2 linked regions of the Lonchura striata genome follow. The protein of the gene in region 1 interacts with the protein of each later gene in a biochemical or structural test. Links are inferred from orthologs where the notes say so. Each region holds a gene or a part of one and is shown on either strand. Other genes may lie near its edges.

The links. The genes of interacting proteins can lie anywhere in the genome.
Region 2: the proteins of guanine nucleotide-binding protein G(q) subunit alpha (region 1) and PLCB1 form a complex in vitro, tested with the Homo sapiens proteins (2 studies listed by BioGRID, with this or other methods). The link is inferred for Lonchura striata from reciprocal best matches to the Homo sapiens genes GNAQ and PLCB1.

What each region holds. Positions count from the first base shown.
Region 1 is NC_134642.1:24,302,967-24,309,951, forward strand, and holds the start of guanine nucleotide-binding protein G(q) subunit alpha, read right to left. Parts: upstream 3,001-6,985; 5' UTR 2,586-3,000; coding exon 2,450-2,585; intron 1-2,449.
Region 2 is NC_134605.1:24,282,009-24,289,890, reverse strand, and holds the start of PLCB1 (1-phosphatidylinositol 4,5-bisphosphate phosphodiesterase beta-1), read left to right. Parts: upstream 1-4,875; 5' UTR 4,876-5,031; coding exon 5,032-5,130; intron 5,131-7,882.

The DNA.
Region 1 (6,985 bases):
GAAAAAAAAAAAAAAAGAAAAAAAACCAAAGATGTTCACTTATGTTTACATTAAAAAAACCAGCACAAGTGATTTTCTCCCCAAAGCTGAGGGGGAAAGAGATGAAATGGGACAGTAAACATTTATTTAATATTAAAAAAATCAGATTATTTTAAATCAGATCGTTTTCCTGCTACCAGCCTCACTATTTTTGATGAATATTTCATTCGAAAATGGTTTCCTCTGTCTCATAACCATGTAAATGACCCATACAAACAACTTAGCATTCGTTTTACAAATAACTGAGCATTTACTTATGCTAGGGAAACAATGAAAGTGGCTAAAAAAAAAGTGTTCTAAGGTACTTAAGATAAATCCACTTATGAAAGAAGTTCCCATAAATTTCTTTTAGAAATTGAAACTTAAGTCTACAAAATACCAAGACACCAAGAGTCTTTCACTACACACTGCATTTCTCAAGACAAGATCATTATGTTAATCCAAATGTGCGCATACTATTTCTTTCAGTCAAATATATGACAGAGGCTGAGAAAACATTAGTCAGAAAAAATGCATGCACAGTAACAATTTCTGTACTGGTTTTATTAACCAGGTGTATGGATGTGCTCTTAAATACATGCAGCCAAAAGTTCACACCTCCAGATCTCTACATCATGCCTCCACTTTCACAAGCCTGCTGGAAGTCTTAGCTGGCATTGATGAACTCAAGAGTTTTTCCTAATCTTTTCTATGGGTTGGTTTCTCTCCTGTTCTTCTTCAAATCACCACACATTATCTGGTCCAAAGTGATGCCATAACTGGACTCCAGTCTACCACCATCTACCTCAATACTTCATGTTAGTGGTGGGAGGACCTTGCAAAGCAGCTCAAGTTCCGTGTTCCTAACTGCAGAATCTCTTCTCTAGGAAAAATTTCTTCTCTAGGTAATATATATTGGTCTCATTCAGTGAATTTCATACATTTCTGAAAATCTGGGAGAAGCTTCTAGCACTACTGTAAGAGATACCGAGAACATACAGAAAAAATCTGGACCTGAATAACATGTCAAATGTATGAACTGCCTCTCCCGAAGCAAGTGTCTATCATTAATCATACTTAGACATCCATAATATTAAGCAAGGGCAGTCTATTTTATCTTCTTTGTGCATCTCAGAGATCACACTGCCATAAACCAAAATCAGTCAAAAATCCAAAAGAACATTATTATTGTTGAGTGCTGCATCCATGTCACTACTTCTCTCCCAGATCCGTTAGAGATCCCAACCTTGTCTACAAGGAAATAACCTTCAAGAAATAGCATATTCATATGGAAGCACTAAAACGAATTCAAACTTTTCCTTCCAACTTGCCTTACCTTATTGAATAGGCACTTTACTTCCTCAGTATAAACCACTACTTCCATATACATGGCCCAAGAAAAACATCTTCCCTGTAAACATCCCACATCCATTTGGAACATACTCACTCATTCACACATCAGAGAGTAGCACAAAAATACATAAAGGCCTGAGTCCAGGCAGGAACTATTACCACGGAGCTACGCGACACAGTGCATCAGACTGGACACAGTCAAGCAGATTTTAATTCGAAAGCCTTATTTTAACATAAGCCAAATTTCTATTAGATAAATGCCACCTCTGCATATTTCTAAAATATTCTGCAACTCTAAAATAGCAACCTCTGCTTTAATTAAGGAGAAACGATACAGTTGATTTTATTCCCTGACCAGTGGGTGGATGCCAAGGGTATTAAAGATCCTGTAATCATCCAGCACACTTCAGGTTACCCCTCAGCTTGCCATGTGCATCTGGGCCTTTGCGGCTCCCTTCCCTTTGTAGAAACCGGTATGCAAGCTGACCCCAAGCCCCTTATCCAACTTTACCTCAATAAATAAAAATCACAATGAGAAATGCAACCGGTGAGCTAACAACCTTGCCGAAGCCCACGGAACAATGCAGATATCACACCCGCCACCATCGACCTGCACAGCGACTCCCCCTGGGAATCCTTTCCTTAATCCGCTTCGCTACCATCGCTCTCCCACACACATCGACATTTGCCCCTCTCCCCGCAGCCCGCTCACTCACCCGCCATCCATTCCCTCTCCATTTTGGAAGGCCGCTTCCCGTTTCACACCGAACGCCCCCGCCGGCGATGCCCGCAGGCGGGCACACACGCCCCGTTCCCCGCGGCGGAGCTCGGCCTGCGGCTCCCCGCGGCGGGGGCGCCGAGCGCCCGCGGCAGCGCCGAGCGCCCGCGGCAGCGCCGAGCGCCCGCGGCAGCGCAGGCACTGCCGCCGCCCGTGCCCGCCGCCGGATACCTGCGCCGGCACGGACCGCGCCGGCGGCGATGCCCGGGCAGCGGCCGGCGGCACCTGGGGCGTGCGCGGTCCGAGGCGAGCGGCCCGAGGCGAGCGGCTCCAGGCGGGAGGAGGAAGCCCCGCACTCACCCAGCAGCAGCAGCTTCAGCTCGCGGCGGGCGTCCCGCTTGTCCCGACGCAGCTGCCTCTCGATCTCGTCGTTGATCCGCCGGGCTTCCTTGGCTTCCTCGCTCAGGCAGCACGCCATGATGGACTCCAGAGTCATTCTTCCTAACTGGTTCAGACACAGCCCCCACCCCCCCTAAACCCGCACGCACACTCGCACACACGCACCCCGCCGCCGCTCCGGCCCCGGGGGGCACAGGCGCTCTCCGAGAGCCCGGGGGCCGCCGCAGGGCAGGCGCGCAGGCAGAGCAGCCTCGATGCCACAGAAGGGCAAGAAGAAAGGCAGGGCCGCTGGCGGCGCGGATCCCCGCTCCCTGCCGCTGACACCCGCCGCTGCCAACTCCTCCTCTCCTCTAAATCATGCACCGAACAACATGGAAACATCCACCGCGGCGGCAGCAGCAGCGCTACCCAGGCGAGCCGTCCCTCGTCCCGCTGCTTCCCTTCCCTCGCCGCCGCCCGCAGCCTGCGCGGTCCCCGAGTGTCCCTGGCGGCCGCCGACACCCCCGCCGCCCTCCGACGCGACCACCCCACCCCCGTGGAAGCGTTAATGCCCACTAATCCCTCCCCCGCCCCGCACACGCACACATCTCTCCGCCGCTCCCCGCCCCCAGAGCGGGAGCCCGGCTCCTGCGGGGTGGCGAGATCGCCGCTACCCGGCAGGAAGAGCTTTCCCGCGGCCGCTCCTCCTTCCCGCCGCCTCGGCCGCTCGCCCTTCCAAGAAGGAGGCGGGCGTGGTGGTGGTGAGGGAAAGCGGAGCTCGCTGTCGGAGAGCTGCCGCTGTTCGGCTCCGCTCGGTTCGGCCCTGCTCGCGTTGCCGACAGAGCAACGGAAAGGGAAACGAGTGCACTAGCAGGGGTCGAGCCCGACCGGCTTTTAAATGGTCGGGCTCCGCGGGCGTGGTGCGGCAGGAATATGGCGGCGCGGCTCCCGCCGCCGCTCCCGCTCTCTCTCCGCCCCGCCGCGCGGCGGGGGCGAGCGGCCGGGGCGGCCGATCCCCGCCCGCGCTGTGCCGCCCCCAGGGCCGCGCCGCCCGCCCTGCGGCGGCCGAGGGCGGAGGAGGAGTGCGGGAAGAGACCGAACGGATTCCCACTCCAAATGGCTGCGAGGAGCTGTGCCTGCTCCGGCTTGTCCTGACGGGCAGCGCTTTCCCTAACGCCTTGTTTGCTTTCGCTTCCTTTGTTTTTAGACGTGGGCACACATTTTTATTCGGTTCCCATCCTAGAAGAGATGAATTGGGTTGGCAGGGTCTGGCGGAAAATGTGGCCGGCTGAAAGGAAGGAAGGAGTAAGGAGCCGAAAATGCCTTTTCCACCTTTGGCCGGAATGGGAAGGCAGAGCGGGATACGCGCACACCGTCAGGCACCCGGAAGGTTTAGCGCCCTGACTTCTTGCTGGGAAGGCAAAGCCGTGCGTTCGGCACGAACGCGCTGGGACACCCCACGGAACGCCACCGGCGTGGCCGATACTCGGCTGCGGTGAGTTCTATTCGCTCCTCGCCCCGGCCCCTGCCTTAGGCCCGATTTCTGGAAAGCATCCCCGTGTAGCTTTCGGTAGCTCTCGGGGTGATGGCATACAATCGAGCAGAATGCACTCATACACCTTCTAGTTTTTGTGAATTCATAAACTCCTCACAGAATTCCCACACCTGCACTTCCTTTGGCCACCTCCATTTTAAACTACTTGTATCTAGGAATGTTGCCAAATCGGTTGTGAATCTGGTACCTAGCCTAGATAGTGGGTAGAAAGGCACATCACTCTTTTAGCTCCATATCTGAAACCTCACCAGCACCTGCTGACATCTGTTTCGAAATTTATATGCGCTTTCCTAAAAGCTTCCATATGTACTGATAAAATTATTTAAGTAAGGTCTGCTATAAAGAGCAAGACAATGAGGGAATTAAAAATAAACATATAAAGATAATAAAAACAACCAGGAAAATAATACAACCAATTTTTTAGAGCATAAAAAATTACTTATTAAAAATTGCATGATTTTCATGTAGATCTATATTGTACTGGTATGAATAGTGTGTAAAAATGATTTATACAACTTGGAATCTTTTTACTTCATTCCAGTCAATGACTTTTAGTCAAAATTGGGTAGATTAAGCTACTAAGAATAGACTATATTTCACTCAAAGCATATTCTCTCTTTTAAAACCTGTAGGTATAGAAGTGTATCTATGTATTCACCTGTATTGTGTACTGGTCCCAGATGTATTAATATTACATGCAATTTAGATTTCTAAAGTGCCAGCAGTGAATTACAGAGACAACGAGTAACAGAAAAAGAGGGGGAGGTTACTTCAAGGAAACAATTATCAGGGTTTTTGAGATATCAGGGTTTTTTCTTCTAAATGCCAGAGTCCAAAAGAGTGAAGGTGAGTATGGTAAAGCTCACAAGAAATTCTTGTTGGATATTTTGTACATTGTGCCCAAATCCACAGCAATCATCTCCAGGAATCACATCTTGAAAAAATATTAGGAACAGGTCAATGAGTTTTCAATCTTTAGGTAAACTGAATCAATATCTTCTCCAAAACTGAGGGCACACTGTTCTAATAAAAACTGTAATTGTCTACAGTAGAAGAAGTTGGACTAAACTTTCTTACCTGTTTTATATGCTCAGTATAAAAGGCATGAACACAGTGTATACCTCAAATGTAGAACTGCATTTAATTTTGCATTTTTAATAAGACAAGACATGCCACAGACCATAACTGTAATCTGCATGTACCACTTTTATTGATATAACTGGATTTCAAATATTTACAGAATAAATATCTTCATATTTTTAATGGATGAGCCATCTAGTCCTGAATATGGCATCAACAGATAGTCATTATACACTGTTTTACTCATTTGCTTCATGACTTAGTGAAAGTCAGAAGAACCCCATTATGGATAATTACATGATAATAAACCTATGAGGAGATTTCTTTCCAGACCTCAATTCCATAATGATTGGCTTTTGTTTTGAAATGTGAAACATCCTTTATAAATATTTTATCCTAATAACAACTATCAGTAAATAACAGAAATCTTTATTGCGTATGCAGGTAATTATTATCCATAGATACTATCCATGCTGTTATCTAATCCTGGACAGATACTTCCTGATAAGCCTCCCGTAGCACTAATCTCATATTCCTCTATCCAAGTAGTCTCTAGTGCATGGCTCATAGCAACCCATTGCTTGTGAGATGTTTTGATGTTGCTTACTGCCACAGGAAATTAAAAGTGAGACTGTCAGAGGGAGAAAAGATATACTTGCATCCTTGGTATTCTTACTCATAAAACAGTAAAGATTTGGAAACTACCACTATGTTTAATCATGTCCATAGCATTCTTTGCACTAAGCTATCTTAGTTTTCAATTTCTTCCTTCCATATGCCTAAAGATATTTATTGTCTCTTTTTTCCGTCTTTTCTGCCTAAGAAAGGTTTTCTGTGATGTTTTGACAGGTTCCAAATGGTATCTGAACTTGGTACTCACATGACAGTATACTAGAAGATTGTGTATAGCAACATCATAGGATTTTCATAATTTGTGAGTGCTTTTTCGTTGCCATTGTTCATTAAGAAGATATTTGCACAGTGCTATGCAGAAGTACATCCCAGTCTTGTTTGTGAATGTTTCTAGTAAATTTAGAGGCTGTCAGTATGTCTGAGTTGAGCAAATTACCCTTCCAGTATGCCCTCCTAATCAGGTTTTTCTTTGCTGGTTTTGTTTGGGTTGGAGTTTTTTGTTGTTGTTGCTGTTGTTGTTTTTGTGTGTTTTTTTTGTTTGGTTGAGTTTCTGGGAGGTTTTTTTGGGTTTTTTTTTTTTTGTTTGGTTGGTTTTGGGGTTTTTTAAAGGGGGAAAAACCCAAATAAAATGTATCTGCTGTTTTCTGCTGTTAAATGAATAACATCCAGCAATTTCCTTCAGCAGATATCCATTTGTTCCAGTGTGTTTTGACAAATTATCTTCTGAATGTTTCTCAGTGTTCCTTATTTCAAAGCAAAAAGTGTCTGCCAAGGTGCTAAGGTACAGACCAATGACTAGGGAAGAGTTAACCCGCTGTTTTCTCATCTGATTTTTCTGGAATTTTGGAAACTTCTTCCCTTCTGTGTGTTTGTATGTCAGGGTTCTTATGGAAGACCTGTATCTGAAAAAGCTTTTTTTATTTTTTGAAACACTTTTGTTCTTCAGACGCATCTCTTAACATTCTTTTGCCCCGGCACTAGAAGAGGGGTGTTGTGCAGAGAAGCGCGTGTGGCAGTCCCCGAGCGCAGCGCGGTGCAGGACGCGCACCCCGGCTGAGTGCGCTGCACCAGGAGCCAGCATCCTGCCCACACCACTCCTCGCCTGCCTGCACGGCCGCTGCCTGCTCCAGCAGGACAGGCTAGCAGCCGCATGATTTGGCACCTTAACTGTGGGCAGAACTGAATCCTGGTGTATTGTGTTGGGTGGGAATTTTTTTGGTTGTTAGGGTTTGTTGGTTGCTTTCTTGCTT
Region 2 (7,882 bases), on another chromosome or scaffold:
CATTTGATATTTTTGTCTTTTAGTTCACGTCACAGCTCAGCTTGGATGTAAATTAAAGCAGGTGAGAGCCTGCTTTTGGGAGGCTTTTAATCTGCCTATGCAGCTGGGACAAAAGTTAAGAGCTGGAAGAGAACAAAAAAAGGCAAAGGTGCACATGTTACTGGAATAGACAAATGCACAGCTTTGAAGTCAATGGACCTTTGGCAGTTTACTCCACCTGTGATTTAATAAACCTGGTAGGCCATGAAATATTTCATAATTAACTTTAACATTCTTAAATGTGTTGTATGTTTTATGGACTGGTTTTAACAACCTGTAAAAAAAACCAAAACGTATTATGCTGTAAATTGAACAAGGAAGCAAGAACAGATTATAATACCTAAAAGGTGAATTAACACTTGCTAGGGAATGCATTATCTGACTTCTTTAACTTGCCATTTTAACTGTTGCAAGAATAGCAATTTTGGGTTCTTCTAGTAATAGTTTGGGGATTTTTCAGGAGATGTTAAGTAGGCAAAGAGTGTCAGGGCTTGCTGGGGGACATGGAGAGGGGCCCATGGGATGGAGCAGCATCAGGGAAGGGCCTCTCAAACCAGGGCCCATCCCCAGTGAAAGAGCAGGGTAAGACGTCTCAGTTGGGTGAGGAATTCTGCTAGCAGCATCTTCTGTCCAAACAACTAGGGTCCATTCTTTTTCACACAGTGTGTTTTCTGGAGGATTGTGGACTGTTTCTGGTGATGTGGAGTTCCACAGGTGCCAGCTGTGCATCAGATCAAAATCCATCCAAAATAAAACATGGTCCCCATGAATGTAGCAGTGACCCAGCCACTTCATTTACACAAAGATACTGTTTGTGTCATAATTTCCATCACTGTGCATTAATATTTATTCTCCCAGTATTTTAAAGATACTTGTGATTCTGATGTGAGGGAAAAATTAAGATGATTTCAACAGGAAATGGATTTTTGTACAAGATTCCCCTCCCCTTCCAATTTCAGTGTAGCAGCTGCTGTTGCCAGGCTGTCTTTGTTGCTATGGTGGTGGTTTGTGTGCCAGAATTTTATATTCACTCTTGCAGAGTCACCTGATTGAGTGGCTGTGCCACAGAAGTTATCAGGCTCACTGGTGAAGATAAAGGCTGTATCTGACTGCTGTTCTGTATGTATGGCATCTTGTGAAGGGAGCAGATGAAACATAAACAGATTCCAGTGGCCTCTGGCCATCAGCTTATGGAAGAATTAGCAGATGATCTCTCTCAGTAAATGAGTGACTTCTGCATTTGGAAGGTGGCATTTCTTAGCACACAAAGCAGCTTCCCCACACCTTGTGGCACTTGTCTCAGTCAGGTATGAGCTTTGCTGTCTGCATGACGTGAAAGTAGCATTTTAGCAGAAGCACTGAGCATTAATCAGAGAGAGTGCCACATTTTCTGTATTTCTTTTCCAGAGTTGTTCCATAGAACTTAATTATCCTGCTCCCACTGATAATTAGAGTATAATTTGACCCAATTTAAAATGCAGTAAGGATGATAAACTCAGCTTCACCAGAAGTAAAGCTTTAATCCCAAATCCTGCAAATACTTATGTTTAACTCTTAGTGCACCATTGCAAGGAAGCATTTGCAAGGCTGAGGTCCCTGCTTCTCTTCAAAATCCAGAATTGCACCAATAAACTCAGAATAGCAAGTGAAATAGAGATTTAATATATTATTTCTCTGAACCCAAATTTAAAACAGTAAATTTAGGTTTTAGTGCATTTCTCATATCACTTCACAGAGTCTGTGTAGTTTTTGCGTGTCTTCATTTGACTTTGGTCAAAGCCATCTGTTATTTAAATTAGTTTTCGCTCCTTTCCTGATTTGTTTACACACATCCAGATGTGTATCTAAAACATTGTGTATTCAGTTATTCCTCTGGAAATGAAATATTGGTACCTAAGCCCCTTATATAAAAAATAATGCTTTATTGGGTATATTGCATTTGAACAATTTGTATTATCTATGTAAGGCAATCACTTTACTGTCTAGGCTGAGATTTTTGAGCCTAGAGAAATGAAAGTATCCTGAAATAGTTCTTGCAGCAACATGAGACCAGCCAGGTATTACATCTGATTTGTATGATTTGGAATAACCACTCGAATAAGCCTATTGCTGGCTGGGTTTTTTTTTCTAACACCACATCTTTCCTTCACTCTTAGAACTGGAAGGGGCTGAGTGAAGAAGAAATAGAAAATAAGTGTGTAGATGTCTTAACTGAAGCTTTGAAGAAAGGCACCTGGTTTTTCTTTTACAAGGCTTAGGCCAATCATTTAAGGACAAAGTCTTTGTACTCTTTCTGGGTGTAACAATCCTGCTGAGTAGAGCTGGTTTCCAGGTCTCTGATCCCAAGCTTGGTGGGAAAGGATCTAGATAGAGACACCCAAATTGTGTTTGCAGTATGTACTAGGTACCAAGTAATGTGCTCCTTGCTGCAGCAGATGCCAGTGAAGCAATAGCAGTAACACATGAGCTAGCTATCTGGGTTGAAACTAAAATTCCCACTGATTTCACAGAGCCCTGGATTTCAGCACAGGCTGAATCACAAGCACTTTCCAGAGCTGTAGTTTAAAAGGCCCAGGCATAATGTCATTTCCTTTTGTGCTGCTTCTTCCTCTTGAGGGAAAATTCATTAGATACCTGCCATATGAAAGGTGTGTTTCTCTTCAGACAAATACTATCAGATTAAAATACGCAAGTCTGAAAAACCACAGAATTGCTCCAGACAAAACTTTGTCTCTGTAATGAAGTTACAGAAGGCACCAGTATTAGAGCCTATCCTTATCCATAGGCACACTTCTTCCATGTTCAGGTCCATGGTTGCTGGGAGCCTATGGCTTCATCATGAATCCTGAGCTATCATAAATTGTGATTTGTTTTTCCCTAACAAAGACTGTAAATGAGTCTAGGTCAAATAAAAGTGGATTTGTGGGTTTGTTGAGAACTGCCACAGAAGTGCCACTATTCCTGGCAGGTTTACATCTTCCCAAGTTCTGATTTCAGTAGACTACTGGGAATGCAAGAGTTAAAGGATCACAAGTAAGTACTGTAGCACCAGTATTCTATGCTCTTATTTTCTGTGGGTTTTAGTAGTATTTTCATTCTTTTGTATATGCAATATGAAATGAGATGAAAAGGCCGTTGTGCAAATAGCCCTGAAAATCTCTCCCTTTTCCCCCGCATGGAGCAACCCCATCCGTCAGTGCAGTCAAAGGCAGAATTGGTTATTGTTGCTTTAAGTCATGGCAAATGGCTGGGAATTACAGCACAGCAGGGAGAGAGCAGGCTCTCATCCTGACTGATGTGGCACCCATGTTTGCAGGGAAGGTTAATAAGAACAAAAAATAGATCCAGTGGATTAATTGGCCTTGAAATGTGTCCGCTGTGTGCACAGGCTATGGTGAAAGAGCAGATTCACCTCTCACTAAAGGCAATCAAAAGTCTTTCATTGAAGGGGAAGAATCTGGAAAAGGCCCAGAGGAAAAGCTTTAGCAACTCTTTATAGTAAGAGCAAATCAGCAGTCCAATATGCCAGTTTTGTAGGTTTTTAATTAAAAAAAAAAAAACAAACAAACCCAGAACCAACATCTCCAGACTCAAATTTAAGAAAAAATACTTGGTACTAGTTTGAAATATAATTCCTCCAAACTAAGTTAAAAATACATACAAATACATTTTTTTCTGTGTCATTTGCTTTGTCTGTAGCAGAAATTTGGCCTGCTGCCCCTAAATCCCAAGGGTCACTTGGAAACCCCTACAGAGAAATTAGAAATCTCATATGCTGTGTCATCTGATGCTTTATCTCTGCACAGGGGCTCTAACAGAGAGGTCATTTTGTGGAGCACTTTGTTCTTTAAAAATATTTTCCTTTAAAACCTCTGGAGTTAGAATTTTTCTGGGTGAGAGGATGTTTTGCCATCCTTATGCCTTCTGAGCTGAGTATACCTAAAACTGAATTAAGGTCACATTCCTTTGTTCTGAGGAAGCCTCTCCATGTGATGAGATCAAAAAGCTGTGGTAAAGCAGTTTCTGTGTATTTAAAGCATGAAGCTTTGGGAATTGTTTGTGCCACTCTTTCAATTAAAAGTTGTTCCTCTTTTGGCATCACTATGCAGGCTCAGTCAGCGCTGTCCCTCTGCTTTTGCCAAAACTATTCCCTCAAAACTAAAAGATAAAAAGTTTCACTCAAGAGGAGGGAGAACTGCGTTGAAGGTGGCAGAGCACTGGGTGGAATCCCCCTCTCCGGAGACATCTCCCAAAGCCACCTGGGCACATTCCTGTGTCACCTGCCTCAGGTGCCCCTGCCTTGGAAGGGATGCTGGGCTGGGTGATCTCCAGAGGTCCCTTCCAACGCCAACCATTGTGAAATTCCCGGTGCGGAAATTTAGCGGCCCGCGGGAGCGCTCCTGGCCGCATCTCTCAGTGGGACGAGACGCACGGACACTCACCCTCGCTCCCTTGCAGAGCGTTTCGGAGCCCCACGCGTGCTTCCCGCGGAAGGAGGCGGATCTCCCGTTCCCAGCGTTTCCTGCCGTCCTCCTGGCTGCCGGAGGAGCCGCGGCGGGGCCGCGCCTCCGCTCGGCGGAAGGCGGCCGGGAGGTGGCGCCGCGGCGCCGCCGGCGCTGCCCTGGGCGCGGGGGAACCTCGGGGGCCGAGCCTGGCGGGGCGGGAGGAGGAGCGGAGGGAGGGAGCGGAGCGGGCAGCGCCGCGGCTCCGTGCCCTGCGTGCGTGCGTGTGTGTGAGAGGAGCGGGCGGGCCGGCGGTATATAGAGGATGTGCCGCCGCATGGCTCGCCCCGGCCGCTGCCGCGCCAGCTCCTTGGGCCAGCGCCAGTGAAGCCTCTCGCCCTCGCCGCCCGGGCAGCCGCCTCCCTGCCCGCTCCCGGCGCCTCTGCCGGCCTCTCTGCCGGGTTTCCGGCGCCCCGGCGTCCCTCCTGCAGCGGCCGCTTCCCGCGGCTCCTCCGCGCCGGGGCAGAGCGAGCGCGTCCATGCGGTGCAGATGGCCGGGGCACAGCCAGGGGTGCACGCTCTGCAGCTCAAGCCCGTCTGCGTCTCCGAAACCCTCAAGAAAGGCGTCAAATTCGTCAAGTGGGACGATGTGAGTAGCCCCCGCTCCCCCCGGCAGGGGCACGGCGGGGTTGCGGGGCGATCGGGCGGGAGGGCTGTGGGCCCTGTCCCGCCGGGCGCGGAGGGCAGGTGCGGGGCGGCCGCAGCGGTGGCCCCGCCGGGTGCTGCCGGGCCGAGCGGCGGCGTTGGGCCGGCGGCCGAATGCCGGGCAAACTTTCCGAGGTCTCTCCTGTCGAGTTGCGCTTGGCCGGTGCGGGCTGTGTTGGGCTGGCTCCTTTCGCCAGCGTCTTCCTCTCCCGCCTCCCGCGTTTCGGTGTGCGTGTTGCCGCCTCTGTCTTCCTAATGTAGTTGTTTCAACCTGTTCTCTCGTTCCATCTCCCGTCTCCTCCTCTCAGCCTCGCCTTTTCCTTCTGGCGCCTGCTTCTCTCGCTGTCTCTCTTGTTCTGGTGGAGTTGTCAAGCCCTAATGTGTTCTCCCAGTTTTGGGTACCCTCGGTCGCTTTACTTCCTCTGCAGAAGACACTCTTCTTTCTTGGCTCATTAGGGCATGAGACTTGCCACACCATCGTATCTGTTTTCCCTTTACTGCTTGCTGTTTCCCAACCCTTTACGTTTGTATAGCCTCATATAGGAAAGGAGTGCAGTTTCCACCTCACCTTTGGCTGGGCAGCTGGGATTTCTTCCTTGGCATGCTGGCTATGCCCGGGACACTTTCAGAGCAAAGGAGAGCTAAACGTCAGAGTTGCCTTTTTCTAAGCCTGCAGAGAAAGAGAGCAGGACGAGTCCTCTGCTTGCTTTTGCTCTGGCAGTCCCACGCTGGCTGTATGTGTCTCAGTTGTGCGCGGAGGAGCAGGTGCCCCAGAAACTCTGTGGACGGTGTCTGGGGGCACAGAGGCATCGTGAGACTCGAGCTGAGGTAGAGAAATGGTTGGGAGAGAAGACATGCAGTCTGAATGTCAGGAGAATTGTTGAGAATGAGTTTGTTCTCAGAGCTCTTGCGTGTTTGCTGTGATCTTGGCTGTGCTAAAGACATCCACAGCAACAACTGGAGGGACAGCAGTGAGGGAGGAGCAGTTCATCTGTAACCACTGTTCTTGGCTTGTGTCTTGTTCTTTTGCCGTTTCTTTCAGCCTGTCCAGCAGCCAAATAGTGTGAGTCTGACCCCTGTAAGCCTGTGACAAACACTCTTAAGGAGAAAGAGAAATCAGAAACCAAACAACTTGTGAAGTTTTATTTACAGTAATAAGCTAACACATTTTTAAAAGGCTCGGCAAACTGACCTTGTCCGCAATACCAAACAGTGGCTTGATATAGGTTCTGTATGTTCAGGAACTATGCTTGAACCAGAAAACATTTTCTTTTGGTTAACGTTTTCCTTAGGGTAGGAAAAGGCAGCCTTGTCATTGCAGTTATTGTTTTATTTTTGGTAAGCTACCAAGAAACTTTTGCGTGTGTATGCAGAGGTCAGGTTAACGATGATTTGAGTCTCCAGACTGAAACTCCAAGCCATCAGGTAACAGTTTAAATTATTAGAGTGCTATTTCCCAAATAATAGTTGCGTAGATAGAATTGAAAAATTAAGAGGCGCATCCATGCGCAGTGGATGTTCACCCGATAACCTGCCTGCTACAGGCTAGTTGATAGAAAGATTTAAAATTGTAAACCTGAAGGCTGCACTAATAAAACATGGCTAAATTCTGGAGAAAGATCTGTGTTTTGTGTTAAAGGTGTTACTCAGCAGTCCACAGGTGTTACCTGGAATATGTGACTGAGTTGAGTCCTGTTGTGCCTAGTGATTGCTTTCATTGTCAGCCTTGTGAAAGTTGATGCCCATTTAGCCACACTGTGATTAAGAATTCTAGCATTAGCTCATTGACTGTGCATTGTGTGTATATATCTGCATGTTTCCCACCCCTCAGCCCTCCTGTCTTGCCTGTAGTTTCTCAGCAGTGGAAGCCCCACAGAATCCAAGGTTTCAAGGGAAGGGAGTTTCCTCTGCCACTCTGGCTCATACACTGATGTTTGTTAAGCATCGTTTCTTTTCACTGTGTGAGAGTGGGAGTTCAGTTCTTCCACATCCCCTGTGCACTGGGACAGCTTCTATCCTCTCCTTGTTCTCTTCCCTGCTGTTTTGGGTTGCAGTTTAAAGATGGCCCTACTGACTTTGCTTTGCGTTTTATGAAGCAGAAGTGGTTGTTGTGAATTCTTACTACTCATACCAAGTTTCAGCCCAAAGCAAAATTTTTCTAGCTGAGCTTTAAACTAATGGGAATGCTGGAAGCATTTAAACAAGAGCGTGAGAGGCGTTGAAGGAATTCTGTATTGTGTGGAGTAGCATTACAGAAAGTGTTTGCCAGCTTTGAGAAGGACACTGTGGCAAGCTGTGCAAGCTGTTGTCTGACAAAACCTGTGGTGGTACAGACTTGGAAACCAGTCCATGTATGGACCTCCCATCCTGAGCCTCTCATAGCTCTGTGCCTGGTCAGTAACTGAGGTGCTGCTAGCAGATGTGGTACTGACAATTCTCATGAACCCCCTCTGAGGAACAGCACTGAAATCTGCTACGTGTGACCCATGAGCCTCATCCAGTACCTGCTGCCCCTGCCCTGTGGGGATGGTCCAGCTGGAAAGGGAAATGCTGTGCCTGAGCTTGGTGAAGTGCAGAGGAGGAGGTCACATCAGCCGTTCCAGATCACAGATAGGTGGAAGGCTTGGAATTCTATTTCCTCTGCAGACCATCTTCAGTTTATAAATTAAAAAAGCATTAGGATCAATTAAAAAGGT